3 linked regions of the Rhinolophus ferrumequinum genome follow. The protein of the gene in region 1 interacts with the protein of each later gene in a biochemical or structural test. Links are inferred from orthologs where the notes say so. Each region holds a gene or a part of one and is shown on either strand. Other genes may lie near its edges. The genes, in order: HTRA2, MAPK12 and CSN2.

The links.
Region 2: of the proteins of HTRA2 (region 1) and MAPK12, one has a biochemical effect on the other in vitro, tested with the Homo sapiens proteins (2 studies listed by BioGRID and IntAct, with this or other methods). The link is inferred for Rhinolophus ferrumequinum from reciprocal best matches to the Homo sapiens genes HTRA2 and MAPK12.
Region 3: of the proteins of HTRA2 (region 1) and CSN2, one has a biochemical effect on the other in vitro, tested with the Homo sapiens proteins (2 studies listed by BioGRID). The link is inferred for Rhinolophus ferrumequinum from reciprocal best matches to the Homo sapiens genes HTRA2 and CSN2.

What each region holds. Positions count from the first base shown.
Region 1 is NC_046296.1:17,529,253-17,537,002, forward strand, and holds HTRA2 (serine protease HTRA2, mitochondrial), read right to left. Parts: upstream 3,065-7,750; 5' UTR 3,043-3,064; coding exon 2,537-3,042; intron 2,438-2,536; coding exon 2,233-2,437; intron 2,148-2,232; coding exon 1,953-2,147; intron 1,716-1,952; coding exon 1,647-1,715; intron 1,453-1,646; coding exon 1,347-1,452; intron 1,223-1,346; coding exon 1,153-1,222; intron 476-1,152; coding exon 380-475; intron 279-379; coding exon 113-278; 3' UTR 81-112; downstream 1-80. Other genes in the region: lipid droplet-regulating VLDL assembly factor AUP1, read left to right, coding at 3,422-3,471, 3,553-3,690, 3,770-4,300, 4,561-4,633, 4,728-4,801, 5,043-5,109, 5,207-5,309, 5,443-5,562 and 3 more; ATP-dependent RNA helicase DQX1, read left to right, coding at 7,213-7,506.
Region 2 is NC_046293.1:440,065-446,983, forward strand, and holds the start of MAPK12 (mitogen-activated protein kinase 12), read left to right. Parts: upstream 1-3,897; 5' UTR 3,898-4,207; coding exon 4,208-4,332; intron 4,333-4,433; coding exon 4,434-4,563; intron 4,564-6,919. Other genes in the region: MAPK11 (mitogen-activated protein kinase 11), read left to right, coding at 226-304, 399-572, 893-975. UniProt on the Homo sapiens protein: Serine/threonine kinase which acts as an essential component of the MAP kinase signal transduction pathway.
Region 3 is NC_046288.1:28,004,960-28,012,891, reverse strand, and holds the start of CSN2 (beta-casein), read left to right. Parts: upstream 1-4,889; 5' UTR 4,890-4,942; intron 4,943-7,004; 5' UTR 7,005-7,016; coding exon 7,017-7,067; intron 7,068-7,856; coding exon 7,857-7,883; intron 7,884-7,932. UniProt on the Homo sapiens protein: Important role in determination of the surface properties of the casein micelles.

The sequences.
Region 1 (7,750 bases):
GACCTGCCCCCCACACTGGTTCATTTAATCCTCTGTCCAGGTGCCCTCAGAGCCTAGGCCAAGAAAGCAAAGTGGAAATCAGAGCAACAGCCTAATACTCTTGCTGATCCATTCATTCTGTGACTTCAGGGGTCACATATAAGGTCAATGTTTCCGGTCCCCGCCGGATCCGCACTGCCAGCTGGGATTGGGTTCGAACAGCTTCATAAATATCTTCAGCATTTTGTACCAACTGCTCCCCAATGGCCAAGATCACATCGCCCGGCCGCAGACCAGCCCTATGGCGAAAGGTGGACAGAGAGAAAGGAGGGAATAGATACCCCAGTTCAAGGGTACATGCGTGTCTCCGCCCCCCACCTCAGTGCAGTGTCTCCCTCACCGGTGTGCAGGGGAGTCCAGGATAACTTTATGGATGAGCACGCCGTGCTGAACATCAGGAAAGCTTGGTTCTCGAAGCTGTAGTTCAGCAAGGATGCTGGAAAGACACAGACCACCCTGTTATCCACACCAAGATGCCCTCTCCATCTCAGGTTCACCTCAAATCTCTCGTCAACACACTGACAATTGTATGCACTAGGTACTCCAGATAGTCAATTCATTTTCTGCCTTCTAGTAGTTAGGAAGTGGGACGTGTATACAAAAGTTACCTAATTCCAAATGACACAGTGTTAAATCAATAGCACGAATCTCATTCTAAAATCCTAAGAGAAGCTTTAAGGAGGGAGTAGAACTGAAGCTGAGCCTAGAAGGATGGGTCTGATATTTAAATATATAAAACAAAAACAACAAAAATAAAAACCTGGGAGTAGGAAATCAGGTTGGCTGAAACAGAATACATTCATGTTAAGAAGCCAGGTCAGGAAGGTTGAATTGGAGACAAATGGAAAATGGCCCCTAAACACCAGGTTAACAGATTGAAGGTTTTAAATCAAAGCAGTAATAGGATGAAATCAATCTGGTGGCAGGTGTGCAAAATGCAGCGTGATGAGAAAGTCAAGATGACAAGAGAGGACAGCTCTTCGGATAGCTCCAAGTGTGAGGCAATTCACCACAGATAAACACAGAATTGAGAACAAAGCTCAAATGAAGTGGCAAATGCACACGACTGAGTACACTGATGGTCCTATGTGTCATTATCCTTAAAGCTCATACCTGGGAGTCAAGGTCAACATCATCACCCCAATGTATCGGCGCTGGGACCCACTGATTCCAAACCAGGAATCTATGATAAAGAGAAAAATGAGCCCCACCCAGCTACATTCTTCCTTCCCCTCCCTCTCCTCCCAATACACCCCTCTCCAGCAAGGCCCCATGAATGCCCTTCCCACAACTTAAGCCAGGCTCACTCTTCTTTTCCCCACGATGCAGAAACTCTCGAAGGCGATCAGAAGGGATGGCAAAGGAGATTCCAGCTGTGACCTTCATGGTATTCACCCCGATCACCTCCCCATCCTGCAGGGACAGAGCCCACTGTTCCCTAGCCCAAACAAATAGTTGGAGATGGGGGTACCTGAACAAGAGTAGCAGGGAGTGTTGGGGAGTTTAGGAGATCTGGTTGGGTTCTGGGAGGTAGCCAACAAGGGACTGTTCAGAAACTTGACCAAACATCATTGAATTAGGGAAAACCCACCCCGACCCACACTGACCTGGGCAGGGATTCTTGGAAAGGATGACCCACTCACCAAGTTAACCAGGGGACCTCCAGAATTTCCAAACTGCAGGACAAGGAGAAAATATGGAAAAGATCCAGGGATTCTTATGCCTGGGGGCATAACCAGGATGTAGGCATTTTCTCCAAATTCTTTTCCCAGCCTATGAATGAGTGGCCACATTTTTGTAGCTCAACCTGAATATATAGGCTCATCCACCGTCTCTCCCACTTGGTGCCTGCACCACACAGTCTATACCCCTCCCCCAACCTAGACTGTCAATTCTCTCATATCAGGACGCACATCAATAGCTGCATCAGTCTGGATGTATTCCACATTGGTTTGGGGGAGGCCTAGGTCTCTGGCTGGACGCTGAGCAGAGCTGACAATGCCAGATGTGATCGTGTTCTGCAGTGCAAACGGACTTCCCATGGCAACAACAAACTCCCCTTGCCGGACATCCGCTGAGCGTCCCAGGGGCAGTGTGGGGAGAGGTTCCTACGGGAGAATGGGTACAAGGGACCTGTCACCTGGCGATGCAAGCAAACAGCCCCAACCAGACCCGGCCTGCTCGGATCCCCACCTTGGTCTGAATCCTCAGCGTGGCGATGTCTGCCACGGGATCCACAGCTGTGACCATGGCCTCATACGTGTCGCCGCTAGGCAGCCTCACACGGACTCGGCGCCGATCAGCTACTACATGGGCGTTGGTAACGATGAGCCCGTCAGCAGCCACCACGAATCCTGAGCCATTCGAGATAGGCACTTCGCGGCCTGAGAAAGGGTGCCTGGGATAGGGGGAAGGCACGGTGAGGAGCTCGTACCCCTCCTGCTCGCCCGCCCTCTTGCCCGCGGCTTCGGTGCCTCCAGAACTACCCCACCGTTACCGGCCCAAGATCTCGATATAAACCACGGCAGGTGCCGTCTTCTCCACCACGTCTGCGATGAAGTTGTACTGGCTCCGGGGAGAGGTGGGTGGCGAGCCAAGGACAGAGGCAAGGACAGCCGGGGAACCCCGACCCCCGCCCCACAACAACAGCAGCACTGCTCCTCCAGCGCCCAGTGCCACCGCTAGCCACACGCGCGGACGGGCTCCAGGGTTCCCTGAGTTCTCCCGGGTCTGGGGACTTGGGGTCCCCGCAGTCAGCCGTGCTCGGGAATCCGAAATCCCGGACGTCAGGCATGTCCGTGGTCCAGGGACCCCTACAGACAACCGGACCCGGAGCCTGGAAGTCCCATAAGTCATTAGGGCCCGAGGATCAGGAGTTCCTGACATCAGTAGGGCCCGGAGGTCAGGGGTCAACAGGGGTCCCTTCCCCCAGCGAACCCCCCCCAAAGCCCGCCATCCCCAGAGTCTCCAGCCTGCACCCCGCCCCGCCCTCAGTGCAGCCATCAGCTCCGCCTCGGCTGCCTCCTCGCCCGCCCTACACAGAGGCGGCGCCCTGGATGGACGTGAGCTGGCGGACCGTGGGACGCGTGGCACGCTGGTACCTGAAGTCCTCTAGAAGTGCACGCCGGGACCCGGATTATTCCGGGAGGCCGACTCCGCCCCCGCCCCGTGAATGCCGGGAATTGTGGTCTCTGAGGGACGCGAGCACTGAGGTGTCCCAAGGGCCCGCGAGGCATGCTGGGGCCGCTAGCCCTTCCGGGGCGCCTCAGGATTTCGGGTCCTGGCACCCGAGGCCCACGCCGGAAGACTCCTCCTTCCCAGAAGCCCCTGCGGCGGGGCACGAAGATGGCGGCAGTGACCAAACACCCCTAAAGCAGCCGCGATGGAACCTCCCCCGGCACCGGGGCCGGAGCGGCTCTTTGACTCGCACCGGTAAGACTCCCGGCGGGAAGAGGCCGGCTCCCGCGTCCACTCGGCCTTCGGCCGCCCGATCACCCCACCTCTTGCCCCCAGGCTCCCGGGTGACGGCTTCCTGCTCCTAGCGCTGCTGCTCTACGCGCCCGTCGGGTTCTGTCTCCTTGTCCTGCGCCTCTTTCTTGGGATCCACGTCTTCCTGGTCAGCTGCGCGCTGCCAGACAGCGTCCTTCGCAGGTTCCGACCCGGGAGCTCGGGGAGGGTCAAGGCTGGGCCGGGCCGACGGCCGTGCAGTCAGCACTGCCTGCGTCCCCAGGTTCGTGGTACGGACCATGTGTGCGGTGCTAGGGCTCGTGGCCCGGCAGGAGGACTCCGAACTCCGGGATCACCGCGTCAGGGTCCTCATTTCCAACCACGTGACACCTTTCGACCACAACATAGTCAACCTGCTCACCAGCTGTAGTACCGTGAGTGGGGGGCGAAGCCGAGAGTGCCACGGGCAGTTCCCTGGGGCCCAACATAAGGCTTCCCTCTGCCCGCCCGGGCTTCCCTTGGGGACCACGAGATACTGCGCCTTAACGCTAACCCCGCTTCTCTACCCCAGATGTCAGTTTTTATCACTTCCCAACATTCTTCTTGCTTTCTCTCTTCCCTGTTCCCAGCCTCTACTCAATAGTCCTCCCAGCTTTGTATGCTGGTCTCGGGGCTTCATGGAGATGGATGGGCGGGGGGAGTTGGTGGAGTCACTCAAGAGATTCTGTGCTTCCACGAGGCTTCCCCCTACCCCTCTGCTGCTATTCCCAGAGGAAGAGGCCACCAATGGCCGGGAGGGGCTCCTGCGCTTCAGGTGGGTGAACGAACACAGGTATTTGACTCTGACTGGGTAGGTGGTCAGGCGTGGGGGGCCCTTGGGTTTTTCACACTTCTTCAGCCCTACCCCCTCCATTTCTAGTTCCTTTCTGTCCACTTTTGGTTCCTTCCCCTGAATCCCTATATTCCTCATTCATCTACTTGGTACACAGTTTGACAGTTTTCTGTTTTAAGTTAGATATGAGCTACTAACTGGACTGGCTGAAATCCCGTCCTATTCTCTCTTCCCTCTTCTAGTTCCTGGCCATTTTCTATCCAGGATGTGGTACAGCCTCTTACCCTGCAAGTCCAGAGACCTCTAGTCTCTGTGGTGAGTGTGTCTTGGATAGGGACTCCCCGGGGCTTTGGGATGAAGCTTCCCAGTCCCGGCCTGACTTAGACCTCACTTCGTGCTTTCCCCTCAGACAGTGTCAGATGCCTCCTGGGTCTCAGAACTGCTGTGGTCACTGTTTGTTCCTTTCACGGTGTATCAAGTAAGGTATTAATTGTCTTCACTTTTTGGTGGCTGGGAAAAGCTCACCTCAAGATCAAGGAAGTAGTTGCCTCTGCCCTATCCATTTGCAGATCTTTTTAATATCAAGTTTCCAACACAGAGGCAGTACAAAGTATTTATTCTCTCCCCACCCTCACCACCATAGTTCCATGAAAAGAGGAATCAAAGTGGGGAAGAGGGTGACTGCCCCAGCTGCCCTCAACATAGCCCTGATTGTTTTTTTCAGGTGGCTCCGTCCTGTTCATCGCCAGCTGGGAGAGGGGAATGAGGAGTTTGCCTTCCGTGTACAACAGGTGGTAGCATACAGAAGCAGGCTGGAGGTGGGGTCTCTCCTTAGACGGGGAGGAAGGCTTGAAACCTTGACATTTCCAACCTTCCAATTCTTCCTAGCTGGTGGCCAAAAAATTGGGCCAGACAGGAACACGACTCACTCCAGCAGACAAAGCAGAGCACATGAAGCGGCAAAGACATCCTAGATTGCGCCCCCAGTCAGGTGTGTGGTCGCTGTACACAAAGCTTTTCGTTTTTTTCCCAGCCTATTATGATTTCTTCCCTATTCCTGTACTAGTCAGACTCTCCTTCCTACTCATTCTCCATTCACCATATTTCGGATTTCTTTTTTGCAGCCCAATCTTCTTTCCCTCCCTCCCCGGGCCCTTCTCCTGATGTGCAGCTGGCAACTCTGGCTCAGAGAGTCAAGGAGGTTTTACCCCATGTGCCACTGGTCGTCATCCAGAGAGACCTGGGTATGGGAAAGGGTAGCCTCACAAAAGAAGACAGGGACAGAGAGGACAAATGGGTGGTGAGGGAAAAGGATGAACAGCGCAACAGATCCCCTTTCCTCCTTCCCTTCTCCCCAGCCAGGACTGGCTGCGTAGACTTGACCATCACCAATCTGCTTGAGGGGGCTGTAGCTTTCATGCCTGAAGACATCACTGAGGGGACCCAGTCCCATCCCGCAGCCTCTGCCCCCCAGGTGAGACCCAGGAAATGGTCCGATCCAAGACTTGGGGTGGGATGGGGCACTCTACATACTCCCTATCCCTGATGTCTCTTTTTTGATCCTGAGACCCTAGCCCAGTGCCTCTCTTGCAAAGTAGGCATTCGATGCGTGTTTAATGATGATGACTTCGCAAGCCCTCTGACATTGTGATCACCTCAGTTTCCCAGCTCTGGCCCGGTGACCCCTCAGCCCACAGCCCTAACATTTGCCAAATCCTCCTGGGCCCGGCAGGAGAGCCTACAGGAGCGCAAACAAGCACTATACGAATACGCAAGAAGGTGAGGGGCTTCGAGGACAATGGGTAGGAAGGGGCAGGTTGGAGAAGGAAGCTAATTACAGAACTACTATGACAAAGCCCACACAATGTCTTCTCCCTATGTCCCACAGGAGATTCACAGAGAGACAGGCCCAGGAGGCTGACTGAGCACAGGATGGTACCCAGAGCCGCAGGACGGAGACTGGGGGCAGCCCTCACCCAACTCACAACAGGCCTGATGGGTGGGTGGTAGAAAGGGAGGGATGGGCCTGCCCCCAGTGTCACATTAAATTCAGGGTTTTCACTCAAGGTCTCTGTTGCCTCTCTGGGTCTCAAAAGCCTCCTGAGCACGTTCCTTTTCCCTTGGTGGGGGGGGGGATAAGGTGGTCCTTGTAGGACTGTGGGGGGATGGTCAGAATGGAACTGTCTGAAATCACCTCCTCGTGTCAAAATGAGTGATATTAAGGAAGTGTAACAACTGAAGACCAAGCAGCAACTGGACCTAACTGGGGTGTTCAGCCCAGGTTTGTGCAGAAATAGCAGCAAAACTACACGTCCCAGGATGCCTTTTACAGTACATGGTGTCTGTAAAGTTAACACATGCTCAGTCGTTGCTGGAGCCTGTTTTCTATAGGCTCCTGACTAGGTTAAATAAGGTGGAGCAAATGGTTCCACCCCAGAACCAGTCTTAAGAATTATGTTTGAGCCAAGCCCCAGGGTGGGGCCGGAACTTACCTTTGTACTTAGCGCTGGTCAAGGTTGGTGGGAACTGGCTGGGCGGGTCTGGAACTGGCTGCCATCGGGACACGTCTCAGAGCTGCAAGCAGGTTTGAATCCAGGATCCTTGTGGCCCTGCTCCTCAATTCCAGCCCCTTATTCCTTTTCCTATTCCCTCCCACCCCCAGGGACCTTCCCACGGGTCTCACATAACTCCTGTTGCCGCTGAATTACAGAGATTCACAGAGAGACCCAGGATTTGTACTACCTGGCTACAGGTTAATAGTCCCTTTTGATAGTCCCTTACTTGGAGACTCAATTCTCCACCGTTTCCTGGCAGGCAAGAAATGCTGGAAAGAATGGATTCCAGTGCATTACCAGCTGAGGGTACACATTAGGGATCAGGGCTGAGGTGGTAAGATGGTACAAGGTTTTAATGACTACCCCACCTTCTGTAGGTCCTGCCAGTCAGCCACCATGGCCTCTCAGCTTCTCAGGCTGGCAGAAGAGTCTGGCCTGAGCCCTGGGGAGTCTGAACTGGCTGTGAACCCTTTTGACGGGCTCCCCTTCTCTTCCCACTACTACGAGCTTCTTGAGCAGCGCCGAGCCTTGCCTATCTGGGCTGCTCGCTTTATCTTCTTGGAGCAATTGGAGAGTAGCCCCAGTGGAGTGGTACTGGTGTCTGGAGAGCCTGGCTCTGGCAAGAGCACCCAGGTGGGGGGGGGGGATTCTGGGAGTAGACAGGAGGGAGGGGCCAGGGAACTGGCCCTTCCCTGGCAAGCGGGGATTGGGCTGCCAGGGATTATGGGGGAGGTGGGCAAAGGGAGTCTGTTAAGGCTGGCCCCAGGGTGGTAAAGGACCAGGACACTCCCCCCAGAAAGAAGACATTAAACTGGCCATAGCTCCCCTAGCACTTCTGACTGAAGTCCTGTGTCTCGCTGACTGATTGTCCTTCCCT
Region 2 (6,919 bases), on another chromosome or scaffold:
AGGGCAAAATTGCAGCACTGACAACAGTGCCCTGGCCAAGGCACTGGGAGTGAGATGCTGGAGCCACCAGAGGCAAAGGAGGTGGTCTCTGCTCCATGCAGGTCCCTGCCCAGGCCTGTTGGACTGCATGAGAGTGGGGCTTTCTCTCAACGAGCCCCTGCCTAGTTTGGGGCCAGGGTAAATAGGGTGTGAGCAGCCCCCTCAGGCCCTTCCATGTGCCCACAGGCCCGGACATACATCCAGTCCCTGCCCCCCATGCCCCAGAAGGACCTCAGGAGCATCTTCTGTGGAGCCAACCCCCTGGGTGAGGATGGGCCCTGGGTCTGGGCTGGGCTCCACGTCTGGCCCTGGATGCAGAGCTGCCCTCCAGCCCCTGCCTTCCCCTGACCACTCTGCAGCTGTGGACCTCCTGGGAAGGATGCTGGTGCTGGACAGTGACCAGAGGGTCAGTGCAGCCGATGCCCTGGCCCACGCCTACTTCAGCCAGTACCATGACCCGGATGATGAGCCCGAGGCCGAGCCCTACGATGAAAGCGTTGAAGCAAAGGACCGCACTGTGGAGGAGTGGAAGGGTGGGCAGGGGGGCCGGGCGGGGGTGGGAGAGGTGAAACCCAGGGCCTGAGGGCTGCCTTCCCGTGGAGGCCTGTGCGGGAAGTGCCTTAGCTCCTCAGGGTGGTCTGGGAGGGGCACAACGTGGCCCCCAGCTCTGGGGTGGGGCGGTTAGAGATGGGGTTGGTGTGTCCAGAAGAGGCCGGGGAAGCATGGGGCAGGCTCTGGAAGGCCCGTGGACTGAGGGTGGTGGGCCTGGCTGGGTGACTGGCACCAGACAAGCAGATGCGCAGTGCTGAGCTGCTGGAAGCATGAGTTCAGCTTTCCCCTCACTCCCCTCCAGAGCTCACCTACCAGGAAGTCCTCAGCTTTAAGCCCCCAGAGCCACCACAGCAGCCGTCTGGCAGTCTGGAGATTGAGCAGTGACAGGAACACTGCCGGCCAGCCACACTGGAACTCAAGGAGGGGACTGCACCTGCCTGCCCCCCTTCCTCAGCCTGCCGGGTTCCCACAGGGGTGCCTCCCAGCACCACTGTGGCTGGCAGCCTTGACCCGTGGCCTGGGACCCCTGGTCAGCACGATGCTCCAGGTGGGATGCTGCATGTGTGCCAGCCGTGGGTGCAGGAGTCTGGGCCGAGCATGCCGGCCCTCCTTGGTCCTCCTGCCCCCTCCCTTGGAGCCTCACTGTGGGGGGGCCTGGATGCCTAGGGAATCCCCCTGGGGAGTGTGTCTGTCTCCAGGTCTCCTCAGTCCGTGGGTTACCTTTAGGGGGTGGTGCATTGGAGTCAGGGTACTCTGAAGACTCAAAAGAGGAGGGGTCTCAGTGGTCAGAGCTGCTCAGCCTGGGAAATGCTGAGATCCAAAGCCGTCGTTGCTGGGCAGGGTCTCCCCTGGAGGGTGTCAGGGCAGGGACAGCCACCAAGTGTCGAATCAGAAAATCCGCCTGGAGTCGTGTTTCCCTGTGCTGTGTGGTACAAATGCACTAATGTGTGTCCTGGTATTTACATGTCAAGGTGTGTGCAGGCATGTGTGAGTCTGTGGGTGCCTGAGGGCTAGTGGCCATGACCAGCTGGAGGCTCAAGTTGGGGTGGCTATATTTGCCTCCCCCCAGTTTCTGATGTCATGGGGGATTTGCTGAGATCCTGCTGTGCACCCTGTGAGGGGCTCAGGTGAGCAAGGTGCAGCCATGCTAGCAAAAGCTGGGGCGTTCTCCTTGAGTTTCTGAGGCATGAGGGCACGGTGCCAGCTGGGGAGCTAGCGAGCACGGGAGGGGCCGGGGGGACGCTAAGGGGGCTGGCACACATCGAGGTGGACCTGGACTCGGACCCTGGACCTTGGCCCAGAGCTGATGAAGACACCTCTGCCTGTTCTCAGAGCTGAGGTGCTCTGGTCTGCGGGTCGGCCCTCATCCTTCCCGCCAGAATGGAGCTGACCTAGTCACCTCTGGGACAGGACCCTGCTCCAAACGCATTGGGGCTGTGGGTCCTCCCTCGAGGGACTTCTGTGTCAGATGGTGCTGTCAGGTGGTGACCTCGCAGGACCCAGGGAGGTCTGAGTGTCAAGGGCACGCACCAGGCTCTCGCAATAAAGGAAGTTCCCCCTCGTTCAGCTGTGTCCCAGGCTTCAAGAGCTGCCCTGCTGCCCCCACTGCCCGAAGGGGTGGCCAGGTCTCTGCATCACACACCCACCTGGCCTGGCCTGCACCCACAAGAGGCCTGCACTGGCCAGATCACTTGGGTACCCAGATCTTCAGCACCCTCTGTGCTTTACCCAGCCAGGGGCCCTGAGGGGCAGAGTGTGATGGCCTCCCACACCCGAGCCTGCTGCCCTGCTGGGGGTTCATTGGACAGGCTCAGCGCCTGGTCCAGATCCAGACTGCCCCTTCACTCAGTGGTCAGGGAGGCGGCCGGGCACGAAGGCCTGCCCTGCCTGGAGCTGGGTGGGGTGGAGGAAATAGCCTTCCTTCCTAGTTAAGGGGAAAGAGGATCATTTCAGCTCTCCAGATGCACACTGAGCTACTGGCCTCTACTGCTCACTGCAGCTCAGGTGGGGGAGGGCCTGGGCCCCAATGGGCGTCAGGCAGGGTGTCTCCACGGCAGGGACATTCTGTGTCCTTACCCTGGGCTTTAGAGGTGGAAACCATCTGGGAGTTGGACCTCTAGGGGCCTGGTCAGCAGGACTACTGGGCTTCAGATCTTGGGGAACCTGGAGATCAAGCTGGGCCAAGTCTTGTGTGTGTGGGGTGGGGGATGGCAGCAGGGCTGAGATGCCCCACCTGGGGGTCTGGTCTGAATGGGAACCCTGCTGGGCCGCACCAGAGAGTAAGGGGGCCAGGTGGGAGCTTCCTGGCCGAGGCAGGTGGAGTGCCACAGGCAGCCCAGGACATGAGGGCATGGGGTACAGTTGGTTGTGGCTCCAGTAACCCCAGGCTGTCCCCACTGGCTAGTCTCCAGCTCCTGAGTGCTCAGAATCGCCAGCCAGTCGGCAGACCAGGTGTAAAGCTGGCTGGCTGGGCTTGAGCTGCTGATTCATGGTGGCTGGCTGGGCACAGAGGGCGGGGCAGGGGCCCCGGGGTCCTGTAACCCCGCTCCCTCTCAGACCTGGGTCACTGGGCTGGGAGAGGATGTGGGAAGGGGCTGGGGGCTCTATCCTTCAAAAGTGGCTGGTCCAGGATGGGGACGTGACCTGGCTCATGAAAGGATGGTGCCCCATGGAGGAGTAGCGAGGTGCTGAGAGCCAGGGTAGGGCCCTGCTTCACCCCTGGGGTCAGGCACACCTTCCCCAGCGAACGGAGAGGCTGGAGCAGGGCTCTGAAGGACAAACGGGGCAGTAAGCTGTGTGTGGGGGGAGCAGGCAGAGGAACTTGGAAGTGCTTGGAGCAGGCTCCCACCTGCCAAACTGAGGAGAAGCAAAGAGCACTGGCAGTGCACAGGTCCACACGCTCCAGCTCCAGGGTTTGGGAGGCCTGGGGTCAGTGGTCACCGGGAAGGGTGTTGGGGATGCAGCCTAAGTGCGGGAGGCAGAACCAACTACCCACCTTGGGAAGGGGCACCCATACTGGGGGATGGACGGATCAGCACAGGGAAGGGGGCCTCCTGGGGGTGGGGATTTGACTTTGGGAACACAGCGCTCAGCTAAGGGGGGGGTCGGATGGGGGGTGGGCAGTGACCTGGCTGGGGACAGAAGTCCTGTGGGCTCAGCGCCCTGGGGACAGGGCTAGTAAGACCGGGGCCCCTGCTAAGACACCCCACGCGCAGGCGGGGGAGTTCAGCCCGACTGAGGAGGCGGCGGGTCTCAGACGCCGCGTCCGGTCCGAGGTTGGGCTGAGCTGCGGGCGGCGCTCCCCCCACCACCCCCTCCCGCCTTCCCGGCGGCCGCCGCCTCGGGTTTCCGGAGAGGCTGGAGGGCGGGCGGGGGTATCACGTGCGCGCGGCCCTGGGGCCGGTTGGTCCGCAGGCAGGGGAGGAACAGGGCGCTACCCAGGCAAGGTTGGGGTCGGGCCGGGGTCGGCGGCTCAAGCGAACCGGAGGAAAGAACCCGGAGCGGAGTAAACGCGCGGTGGCCCCGGGCGCTCGCCCAGGGAGTCCCGCCGATCCCGGCCCGGTGCTCGGGCGCGGCGCCCGAGGGGTCTGCGGCGGGGCCGGCACCCGGTCCGGCCATGAGCTCTCCGCCGCCCGCCCGCAGGGGCTTTTACCGCCAGGAGGTGACCAAGACCACCTGGGAGGTGCGCGTGGTGTACCAGGACCTGCAGCCCGTGGGCTCCGGCGCCTACGGCGCCGTCTGGTGAGCGCAAGCCGGGCGGGGTGGCCGGCCGTGTGGCCGGCCAGTTGGCGGGTATCCGGGCGGGTTGGCCCGACCCTCCCGCTAAGCCGTGCGTCCCGCAGCTCGGCCGTGGACAGCCGCACAGGCGCCAAAGTGGCCATCAAGAAGCTGTACCGGCCCTTCCAATCGGAGCTGTTCGCCAAGCGCGCCTATCGAGAGCTGCGTCTCCTCAAGCACATGCGCCACGAGAACGTGAGTCGCGCTGGGCCTCCGCTCTGGACACCCGTCCATCGCCTCTGCTCGTCTTCCTGCCCCAAAACTCCAGGTCCCACCTACCCGGACCCCCTGTGTGGTGCCGCGTAGGTGGGGGTCAGGGCAGCCTCTGGAGAAGGGTGGGGGCTGCAGGTGGTGAGGGCAGAGCCCACCTCTTTCTGAGAGACTTCCCTGGGGTCTAGTCCTCTCCTCCCAGGCCAGTCTTTGGGAAGGTGCCTCTGCTTCTTCCTGGGGTCACGTCTGTCTCCGCAGCCCAGGCCCTGGTGAGGGGATGGACGCTTGTCCAGGCTGAGGCCATTGTCCAGGTCTCACCCCAAATTCTGTGGAGCTATTTTCCTGGAAGGGACACCCCCGCAGCCTCACCCAGATGCTCTCCTGAACTCACCGTGCTCCAGTCCATCTCCTGAGCAGCAGCCCCAGGACCTGGGGTCCCTGGGAATGCAGAGCTAGGCATGGAATTGGAGTCAGCATCCTGGCTCTGTCACCTCAGAGCCTTGGGGTCTCCGGTGGTGGAGGACACTGGGCCAGTGGCCAGCACACAGATGCTTCCTTCACAGCTCTGGCTGGGGTTTTGTGGACAGTGTGGAGGGCTGGACCTGGGCCCCCACCTGGGAAAGTCCCCCACCCCCATGCTTCCAGACCTGTCCATGGGACACCACACATGTCTGCCATGGGCCTCTCTGGTGCCATTGCTGGCTGCTAAGAGCCTTCCTCTGCCATGGGATTTCTCCTTGCTTCCCCCAGGGGATGAGAACTCTGCCCACCCCCACTCCCCAAGCCACTCCTGCCTCATGCCCAGTCTGGGCCGTCTGAGGGCTTGTGGTCTGGGCACCCAGGCCCTGGCTAATCATGCTCCTGACATATGGTCTGGCCCCTCCTGGGTCATTGGAGCCCACAGCCTCCCCTCGGGATGAGGAGTCCCCAGGAAACTTGTCCCCTGGGTTTCTGGCTGATGCCTACCCTCTTAGCCCCTTGGGTAGGTCCTTCATTCTCCCAAGTTTCCCATCACCACCCTTGGCTCTTCCCAGGTGACATCCACTCGTGGTGGACACCAGCGCAGCCTGGGCTTTATTACATCCTGGTCACGCCTGTGCCTTGACCCCTTCCTCTACCAGGCTTCATTTGGCTTTCCCCCCCGCCCCCCCGCACACACACTCCCACCACCCATCCTGCCCGTCCCAAGGGCTCTGGACTTTGTGTTCAGTCATCTGTGCTGGGGCCGCCCCCATTGTGCCAAGGGTCTTACCATCCCTGTGGAGCTCCTGACCTGCCCAAACTGGACATTGCCATGTCCTGAGCACCCTGCACACAAGCTGGGAGGCGCCGCCTATCGTGAGCCCATTTTCCTTGGAGGACACTGAGGCTCTGAGAGGCTGACTGCAGTGGTGGTGGGGACTCACATGTCCCGCTCCTGCCCCTCCCCCCCACTCCGGCTGCCATCTCTACCTCAGAGGCACAGAAGTCTCCATTAACCTGATGGCCCCTTAATCTCAGGGACTCTGTCCTCTGTCCTCTTCTTGCTCAAACACTCTCCCAGTGCCCCAGGCCTCACCTCTCTGGGTGTCCTGCTCTGCTCCCTCCTCCCCGCTTGCTCATGGCTCTGGCCCTGGTGGTCATCTAGCTGTCCCTTCACCTCATGTCCACTCTCGCCTCACTCCGGTCTGTCCCCACATTCAACATAATGCCTGTTTAAACCCTTTCTTGGCGGCTGTAGGACCAAACCCAAACCTCCACCTGGCATGTGAGGGCTTGCTTAGGCTCCCTCTGATCTCTGCGTGGTGACTCCCTGGCCTGGCCCTCGGCCACCTGGCCTTCCTCACCATGTTTCTCAGATGCTCCAAGTGTTCTCCATCCTGCCTCCGCTACCATTCACATTGCCTCTGCCAGGTGTCCCTGCCACCCATGGCTCACCAGCGTGCTCCTTCGGCTACTCGGATATGCAGGCCTCACTGGGTCCTTGGACACCCTGTCACCCTGAGCCCTGGGCTCCCATTGTCACATTACCTGTCTGCTGTCCCTCAGTCCTGACCAGGGGTCTGCAGGACCAGGTCTGACTGTTGGTTTGGTCATAGTGCTGCCTGCCTGGGCCTCTCCAGCAGAGGCACAGCCCTGAGAAGTACCTGCCGGATGTTTGCTCTCCCCTGGGAGGCTGTCCCCATCCTGGTCCTAGGTCTTCAATGGGGACAGGAAGAAGGGGAGGAAGGGCCAAGGAACTGGAGCTCCTTGGACGGCTGGGAGCTGATCCAGATTAGGGGGCCGCCCCTCCCCTGAGGATCCCGGCTGTCACTGTCCCAAAATAGCCTGGCAGGTGTGCCAGGGCCACGTCAGTGCTGCC
Region 3 (7,932 bases), on another chromosome or scaffold:
CTCACTTCTTCAGTTTCCTCATCTACAAACATCTTTAAAACACCATATGGATGATATTTGGAGTTTCTTACAGTTCTTATTTTCTGAACATTTTTGTTCCCTTTAGTGTACTCTTGATCTTGCTTTTCTATCTGCTTTCTTTCTTGAGGGTATTATTAACAGGCTTCAGCTATTACCTTTGCACTTCTACCAAATCTCATGCCTGAATATTTCAGATATGTCACCCAATATGGGAAAGAGCTTGGGGAATAAATTATATTTATGACAAAGAGTCCTAGAACATGTTGCTTTGATTATATTTTGTTCCTCACCTAGGTGTCTTATAAAATTTCAATAGATGAAATTCTTATTTTCCTTATAAAATGGCAACACAAGTTACACATCGGGAGAGCTTGGGTTGCCCACATGGAACCTTGACCCTTACTTATGATTGTGTTCTGATGCTTATGTGGCCAATGGCACCTGGTGTTACTTAAATCTCTGGCTTTTCAATTTTTTATTGGATAAACCTTTTTCTCTAGTGTATTGTTCATGATTTCCTTGATCTAGGTTTTGCATACATTTCCGACCCAAATAAGTCCATAAGTATACTGATTACTGTAATTCAAAATTCGTGGAAAAGAGTCACAAGAAAATGCTGTATTTATTGCACAGTATGTAAGGCGTTTTGCTGATAAAATGAAAAGGAAATATTGAATGGGTAGGGCATGCTTGCTTTTGTATTTCTTTTCTTAGAAATCACACATTTTTGTCTGTGCTCTTGGGAACCAAAGCTAATACATAGGGTGCACAGGGCAGACATGGCCTTTTCAGTTGGACCTATGCCACGAGGGTTATTTCATCATTTCTTTTCATGGCTTCCACCTTGCTCAATACGAACATAGTCTTAGAATAAATATTAGTTGAATAGTTCAAATTCACAATAGACACTGACTTGGGCTTTCTAAGCAATATAAAATATATGACAATTAGGAGTGTACTCTGCCCTCATACATTTAGCATGATATGAATGCAAGTGATATTATGAAGGAAAATCATCAATTATGCCAATATTTTACTTAACCTACTTACTTTGGAAGGGCATCTACCTGTGCTTAAGTCCTGAATATATCTATTACAGGTAGTGAACAGAAGAAAAGAACATTGTGAAAATGAGTAATGTGAAACACAATCAGCCAATTACATGTACGAACATCGATCACTAAAGAGACAAAGAACTTGAAGACTGCTTTTGTAAATAGGCACATATTAAGTACTTTTGAGGCCTGACTCCGACTATTGGGGTACTTTGGGCAAGATCCTGTTCTTCTCTGGGCTTCACTTTCTTTTCTTCCTTCCGTCTTCTGTTCTTCTATGAACATTAGCTGATAAACATTGAACTCACTACAAAATTAGGAGCCCAAACTTGAACAGTCCCGTTTTATTAACGGGCACTGCTATCATTTGTTCTACAGAAGTAGTCACTCTCTAAATGTCACTCTCCTTCCTAAAACCCTTCAACAAATCCCCACTATCCACAGAATAAAATTCATGTTCCTAAGGAGCACAGCATGCCTTGCTCTTTCTCTAGTCTCATTCCATCTACTCCCTTCCTTGAACTTCATGACCCTGATTCACTCCTTGATTTAGTTGTGGTTACTTGTTTCTCATATCCAAAACACTCTTCTTCCTTTCCTTTTAAGTTATAATTCTCTCCCCTCCTCAGGTCAAACACTTCTTCTTCTGGCCTCAAGGTCATTCTCAGGACTCAGGGCTTCCTGAAGATCCTCTTGCCTCCCCTATCCATCAACTAAAATGAACTAGGTATTTCCTTTGTGCCTATTGCCCCTTATCACAGCTTTATTAAAATATGTATTGCATTTCACAACAAGTAGGTTTTCATATTTGGTTTTCATCTTCTCAAGGACAGGAACTATGCCTTTTTATTTGTTGTTGCTTTCTTGGCAACGGGAAAAATGCCTGGCAAACATAGCATTTAGTGTGGAATATATTTCACTGTTTACTGTCAACAACCTTCATGTTCACCTATCTTCAGCGTTCTGCATGCATGACTATTCTTTGGATCAAGTTATCATCCAGAAATTCTCTTCTTCTCTGATGCTGAAATTCCCATCTGATAAAAAGCTCAAATCTCTATTTCTTGAGATTGACCAATCTCATTAGGCCTGGTTTTTGTCTTTTTTCCGATCTCTAGTCCCTCAAGCATTTTTTAGTTTTCTGGTTTATACCTCAACCTTCCTTCCCAGCTCAACCAGTATTTCATGACTAGTTGTTTTAACACAAACACATTCAAGCCCCTCTCTCCACCCCAACAATTCTCTTGACCTATTGATATACTGCCACTATCTTGCCATAAATCTACTTGGATAAGGAAAATAATCTGAGGTCTACTCTCACCTAGTTATTAGTTACTACTGTGGATCTTGTTACTCATCTTTATTTTCACATTAAACAAAAATGTTCGCTATTTTGAGTATCCCAAACCCATAAACACTTCCCTCACTAAGTTGAAAACCCAATCCTCCACCTCACTGGAAAAGTAACTTTCTACCCTGCATTTCAAAGTATGTATTATATTTACTCATCTTCTCCTCCTTTTCTCCTGTGTCAGAAAACCTGGTACAGTCTGTACAGGTCTAAGTCTTTTGGCTGTGACCCTGATCCTACTGGAACCTGCTCCATGAGTTTATTCCCCTCTCTTTGGTATGTTTCAGCAGTTTCTCACCCTTGACCTGTATCTTTTAAGCTACAAATCTCTATCCTAAAATTACCTTTCTGTGATCCTGGTTGTCCCTATAGTCACAGATACCATTCCATAAGTTTCTTTACCCCCTTTTCTTAAATCTCAGAAGAGTAATGCTACTTTTAATTCCTCCCACATTCCTTAGTTCTGAACCAATTGGAGTATAGCTCAATGGTTACAATGATAATGATTCCAGAAATCCAAAATATCTTCTTTGTTTCCACTTTATTCCACATCTGTGTAGCGCTTTCAGTCTTGACTCCACTTGTTTTTTCCTAACTATTTCCTCCCATCGTTCCCATCACCCTCTACTGCCTTCTCCTCGATACTCCATATTTTTCTGATTTGCTTTTGCTGCCCCTGAATCACAGGGTATACTTGAGTTCTATTCTTCGACAATTTCTCTTCTCACTTTTCCTCTGGGGAAATTCATTTATTGCTTTGTCTTAAAAAAAAAGTCATCCATACAGTTGCACTTCTCCTTTGAGCATCATATTTAATTCACAATACCTCCTGGACACCTTCAAATTTACTATGTGTAAGATATCCTCTTTCTCATTTCAGCTTGGTTTCTTATCGTGGTTTATTCCATGTCTTGCTTTTCAATTACCCAGGCATATTCTGTTTATCTATTTCCCCGATTTCTCACATTTCTCATATTTTAATAAGTTTGTCTTCCTGTTGCCTGAGATGCCCCGCACCATGTCTCCAGTTGAGGTCACCAAAACGTTTGTCTTAGACTAGTATAATAACATGATATAACAACCTCCTCTACTAGGTTACGTGAGATATTGCCATAAAGACATACAACCCAAGAAATTTTACAATCCTTCTTTCTTTCAAATCTCCAATATCTTTTCTATTTCCAGTGAATTATGTCACATTGCATATCTGAAATTTCAAAAGCATCCATGATCTGACTCTGTCAAACCCTTACAACAGTAACTTATAGTATATAATCTCTGTGTATCTTAAAACACAAAACCCATCAAAGTTGGTATTTGGCTCTTCAAGCACTATATTTACTTCAGCCAGATACTTTATTCTCATTGACTCATTTTTCAAAATTCTACACATTCTTTTAAGTTCCAACTAAAATAATGACTTCTGAAAGACCAGCTTCCTCTTCCCACACCCGTGCCACTTTCCTCCAACCCAGACATAACAAATCTTACACGTTTAAGCCCAAATGTTAAATTCATAGCTAAATTTTGTAACAAAATCTCAGGAGGTTAAGACATGGGCATTGCATAAAATCAAATAGAAACACATGTAATCAGAGAGATCTGGTTTTAAATGGTATTTTGCCATTAACAAACAATATGATTTTGGCAAGTTACTTAAACTTTTGGTGTCTCAGTTTCTTAAACAAAAATATGGAGAGGAGAACAACCACATGATGTTTTTGTGGCAATAAACAAGATAATATCTAAAAGTGTATAATGCCTGGCAAACTTAAAAAAAAGCTATTATAATATCATGCTTGAAAGAAAAATAGGTAACCAATATTTATCAGGTAACTAAGTCTCCATGACACCTAGCAAAAGTTTTATAATAGATTTACCAAGGATTTTCCCTATACCAGACATCCAGATACCTTTTCTGAGATGTTCCATTTCAGAAGAAGGTTATTCCTCTCGTGTACAAAATATTGGTTCTAAGTAAATGATTTATTGTTTCCAAATGAAATGGCCCTGAGATCTAAGCCATTTGGCTTACATGACTAAGGTGTCATGGATTTATGTTGTCAGTTTCTCCATTGCAGCATAAAACACTAGCAACTGCTTAGTTAACGTGAAATTGCTTGGTGAAGCTCCTGCATATCTCACAAAGAATTCTCAAACAGAGCCTAAGAGACCTAAATGTGTCCTCAGTAACTTGGGGACAGGACCAGATTGTCAGTGTCCTCCAGTAATTGTCTTTAGTTATTAGAGGGTTGTGTTTCCTGGACAGATTTCCTTTATCAGATGTGAATTTCCCCCTTGTTAAACTTTTTCCCAGAATTTCTGGATACAGATATTAGGCAGAAATCATTTTCTAATCCTGTGAACTTCTTAGAATTGAAACTCACTATTGATTTTATTTCAAACCACAAAATTAGCATGTCATCAAATACAGTATATAAACAGCCACAGAAGTGGATAGACCATCATCCACTTAGCTCCTCCATCACTTCTTGTCCTCCACTTTGGATAAAAGGTAAGAATTTCAGATATAAATTTGATGTATCCCTTCTATAGGTTTATTTCAAACTTGGTTGAGATATCTGAAGAAAATATTTGCTTCAGTATAGTTTTGAAATAAGGGTACTTAAAGTAGCACTCACATTATTTTCAACACTTAGATTTAAAGAAGTAGAAGTGTCTATAAATATTTGTAAAAATTATAATGACCACATAAGCTTTATGAGTCTAAGAAAATGTAGTAATAGCGGTTACAGTTTTTTTTTAGTACAAGGCTAGTTAACAGACTATATTAAAAGATCAATTTCCTGAATTAAATGTCTTCCAATTTAATTAAATATACCACAATCATAAAACTAAATATATTTAAATTATTATATGGGATATGAATAATTATTGGGAAAGCTTTATCCAAGGTAGCTTATAGAGGTAGCATATTGAGTTAAGAAATTGTGGGAGTTGTTTGGGTACAGGCACTACTTGAACTGTTTATGAGTAATTTTTCTTAGAATTTGTTTACAAAATGCATCAAATTTGTAAACAAAAATTTGATCAAATTTGTTTACAAATTGCAACATCTCACTTTATTGTTTGATATGTAATATTTCAAAATAATATTAAAATGAACACGCAATACAGAATTGTTAAAAAGGAACAAAGTATTTTGCTGTATAAAAATATTCTAGAAGAGACAGGGATGACTTGGAAACAAAAACAAAGGAAAAAGATTTGAAGGGAAGAGTACCTTAGAATATATTATTCAATAACATAGTTCTGGCTTTAAAATTGGTATATAAAACGCTAATTATAAAACATAGAAAATACAATAGAATCTTTCCTACCCATTATAATGTCTAATAGTGTAACATAGTCTTCTTTTAAACCTGACAATGAAAAATTATTTTGAAATTTATGGAGGTGTTAAGCAAAGTAAAATTAATAAAGAATTATATTGCACCCATGAGAAAAATCTAGAAAAATATATTTCTTCCCTGATAAAGAAAATTATTTTCAGCTTTCAAATATTGGAAAGAACATTTTGCAGGTGAATTAGGGACTTTTTTCATGAAACATTTTTAGTTCAGAAATTTAGTTTAAAAATTTGGGATTAAAGATTGTATGTCAAGGGATATTGGGGACATAAACATTATAGGAATTTTAAAAAATGAACCATTTGGTACCTTTTGGTCAAAGCTGTTAACATATATTTTATGTTATGCTACAAGAAGTGGTAGCCTGGAGTGGGGACTGGGCAAGAGAACCTGATCCTTGGGTAAATCATTAAGAGATCAGAGAGAAAAGAAGAGCCATCATGTATGGTCTCTAAAGTTATATGGCACAAAGGAGAAGAGACATCATTAGGTGTGTGCCGATGAAGACTGTGTAGTGGGTATAAATAGAGAAAAAAAGAACAAACAAATCAGTTCACAAAAGCATCTGGATAAATGGAGCAAATAAGAGAAATGCTCAAATAATAATCTGTCTTATTGGAAATAAAGAGATATGTTTAAACCAAATAATCATGGAAACTGTAACAGAAAGGTAAAAGTAAAATAGGATCTTCTTCTATGTATACATTTTCTTTGATCAGTCTCTTCCCAATAGAACTGAGGACTCACCAGGGCTGAGACCTTAATATTTTGTTCTCCGCTATAATCCTAGCACCTAGACAGCATCTGGCAATAAAGGGTGCTAAGTAAATACTCACTTTTGAATAAATGAATCAATTGATAAAGCTTTCTGCAAATATTTATAAGTTCTTTCTGGCCTTTTAAAAAAACAAAACCTCATAGTACAGTGAATGAGATGAAAAAATGTGAGATGGGATAGGGTTGATAACTGAAAAAATCTGAATGGCGGCCAGTGAAGTATGAAATTGATATGTAAGAGTAAAGAGCCATAGTAGATTTTGACCTTGGTTATATGGTAAACTCCTATTAGTGTTTTCTTCTAAAATGCAGACATTTTAATTTTATATTATTTTTGGATTCTTTAAAAGAAAAGTAGCCCTGCCTAAATAAAAAATATTAGATTGACCACTATATTATATTACCATTCCCTCATTTTCCCATTCACAGGACTTGATAGCCATGAAGGTCCTCATCCTTGCCTGCCTGGTGGCCCTTGCTCTTGGTAGGGAGGTAAGAAAATCTCTATATATTTAACATATGGACTATCTGTCCATGTGTAGAGAACGACATCACTAACATTTTAAGTGTACAAATAAAGCAGAATTTTAACAGCTTTTTTTTTTTTTTTTTTTTTTTACTTCTAAGAAAATCATTTATATTTACCCACTATTTCAACAGTGTCCTATAAAGACACAAATCTGGGTTAAATGCTTTCTACACCTGTGCCACTAATGGAAAAATGAACGAATCAATAAGCAACAGACAGAACAAGAAGAAACAAATATGAAAATGAAAACAACAAAATAAAATATTGCACAAGTACAATTGCATAAATGTGTAGCCTAGATAAATATATCTTATTCTCGTGATGAAACTTACGTACCTCTTACCCTAGGGCACGAGGCCAAATCCTACCTGTGTCTATCCAAAGACATCCAGAGGATGGAATATCAGACCATAATCATAATCATAAACATGTTTTTAATCATAATATAACTATTTAATACAAATTAAAATAACTTCTTTTCTGTTACCCTTAAAAAAATTGTTCTTCATTCAGGTAAAATTAAAATATACCATTAGAGTCACCAAATATAAAAGACATAAAAACGATTACCTTTAAAGGCTCTAACAAAAGACATTAACATAAATAACATAAATAAAAAATATATTTCTTAAATTTGTGAACGAGATAGCTCTGCATTAAAAAGGTAACAAGGAGGAAAAATGTTTACTAATGAGCAAGCTATGGAAACCAAAATGGTGTTTTTCTGTTTTTGTTTTTCTTTTTCTTTACAGAATGTAGAATTCAGTGTATCCAGTGAGGTAAGATATTTTTATTCAGAGAAAATTTTTCAACCATAAAATAATAACA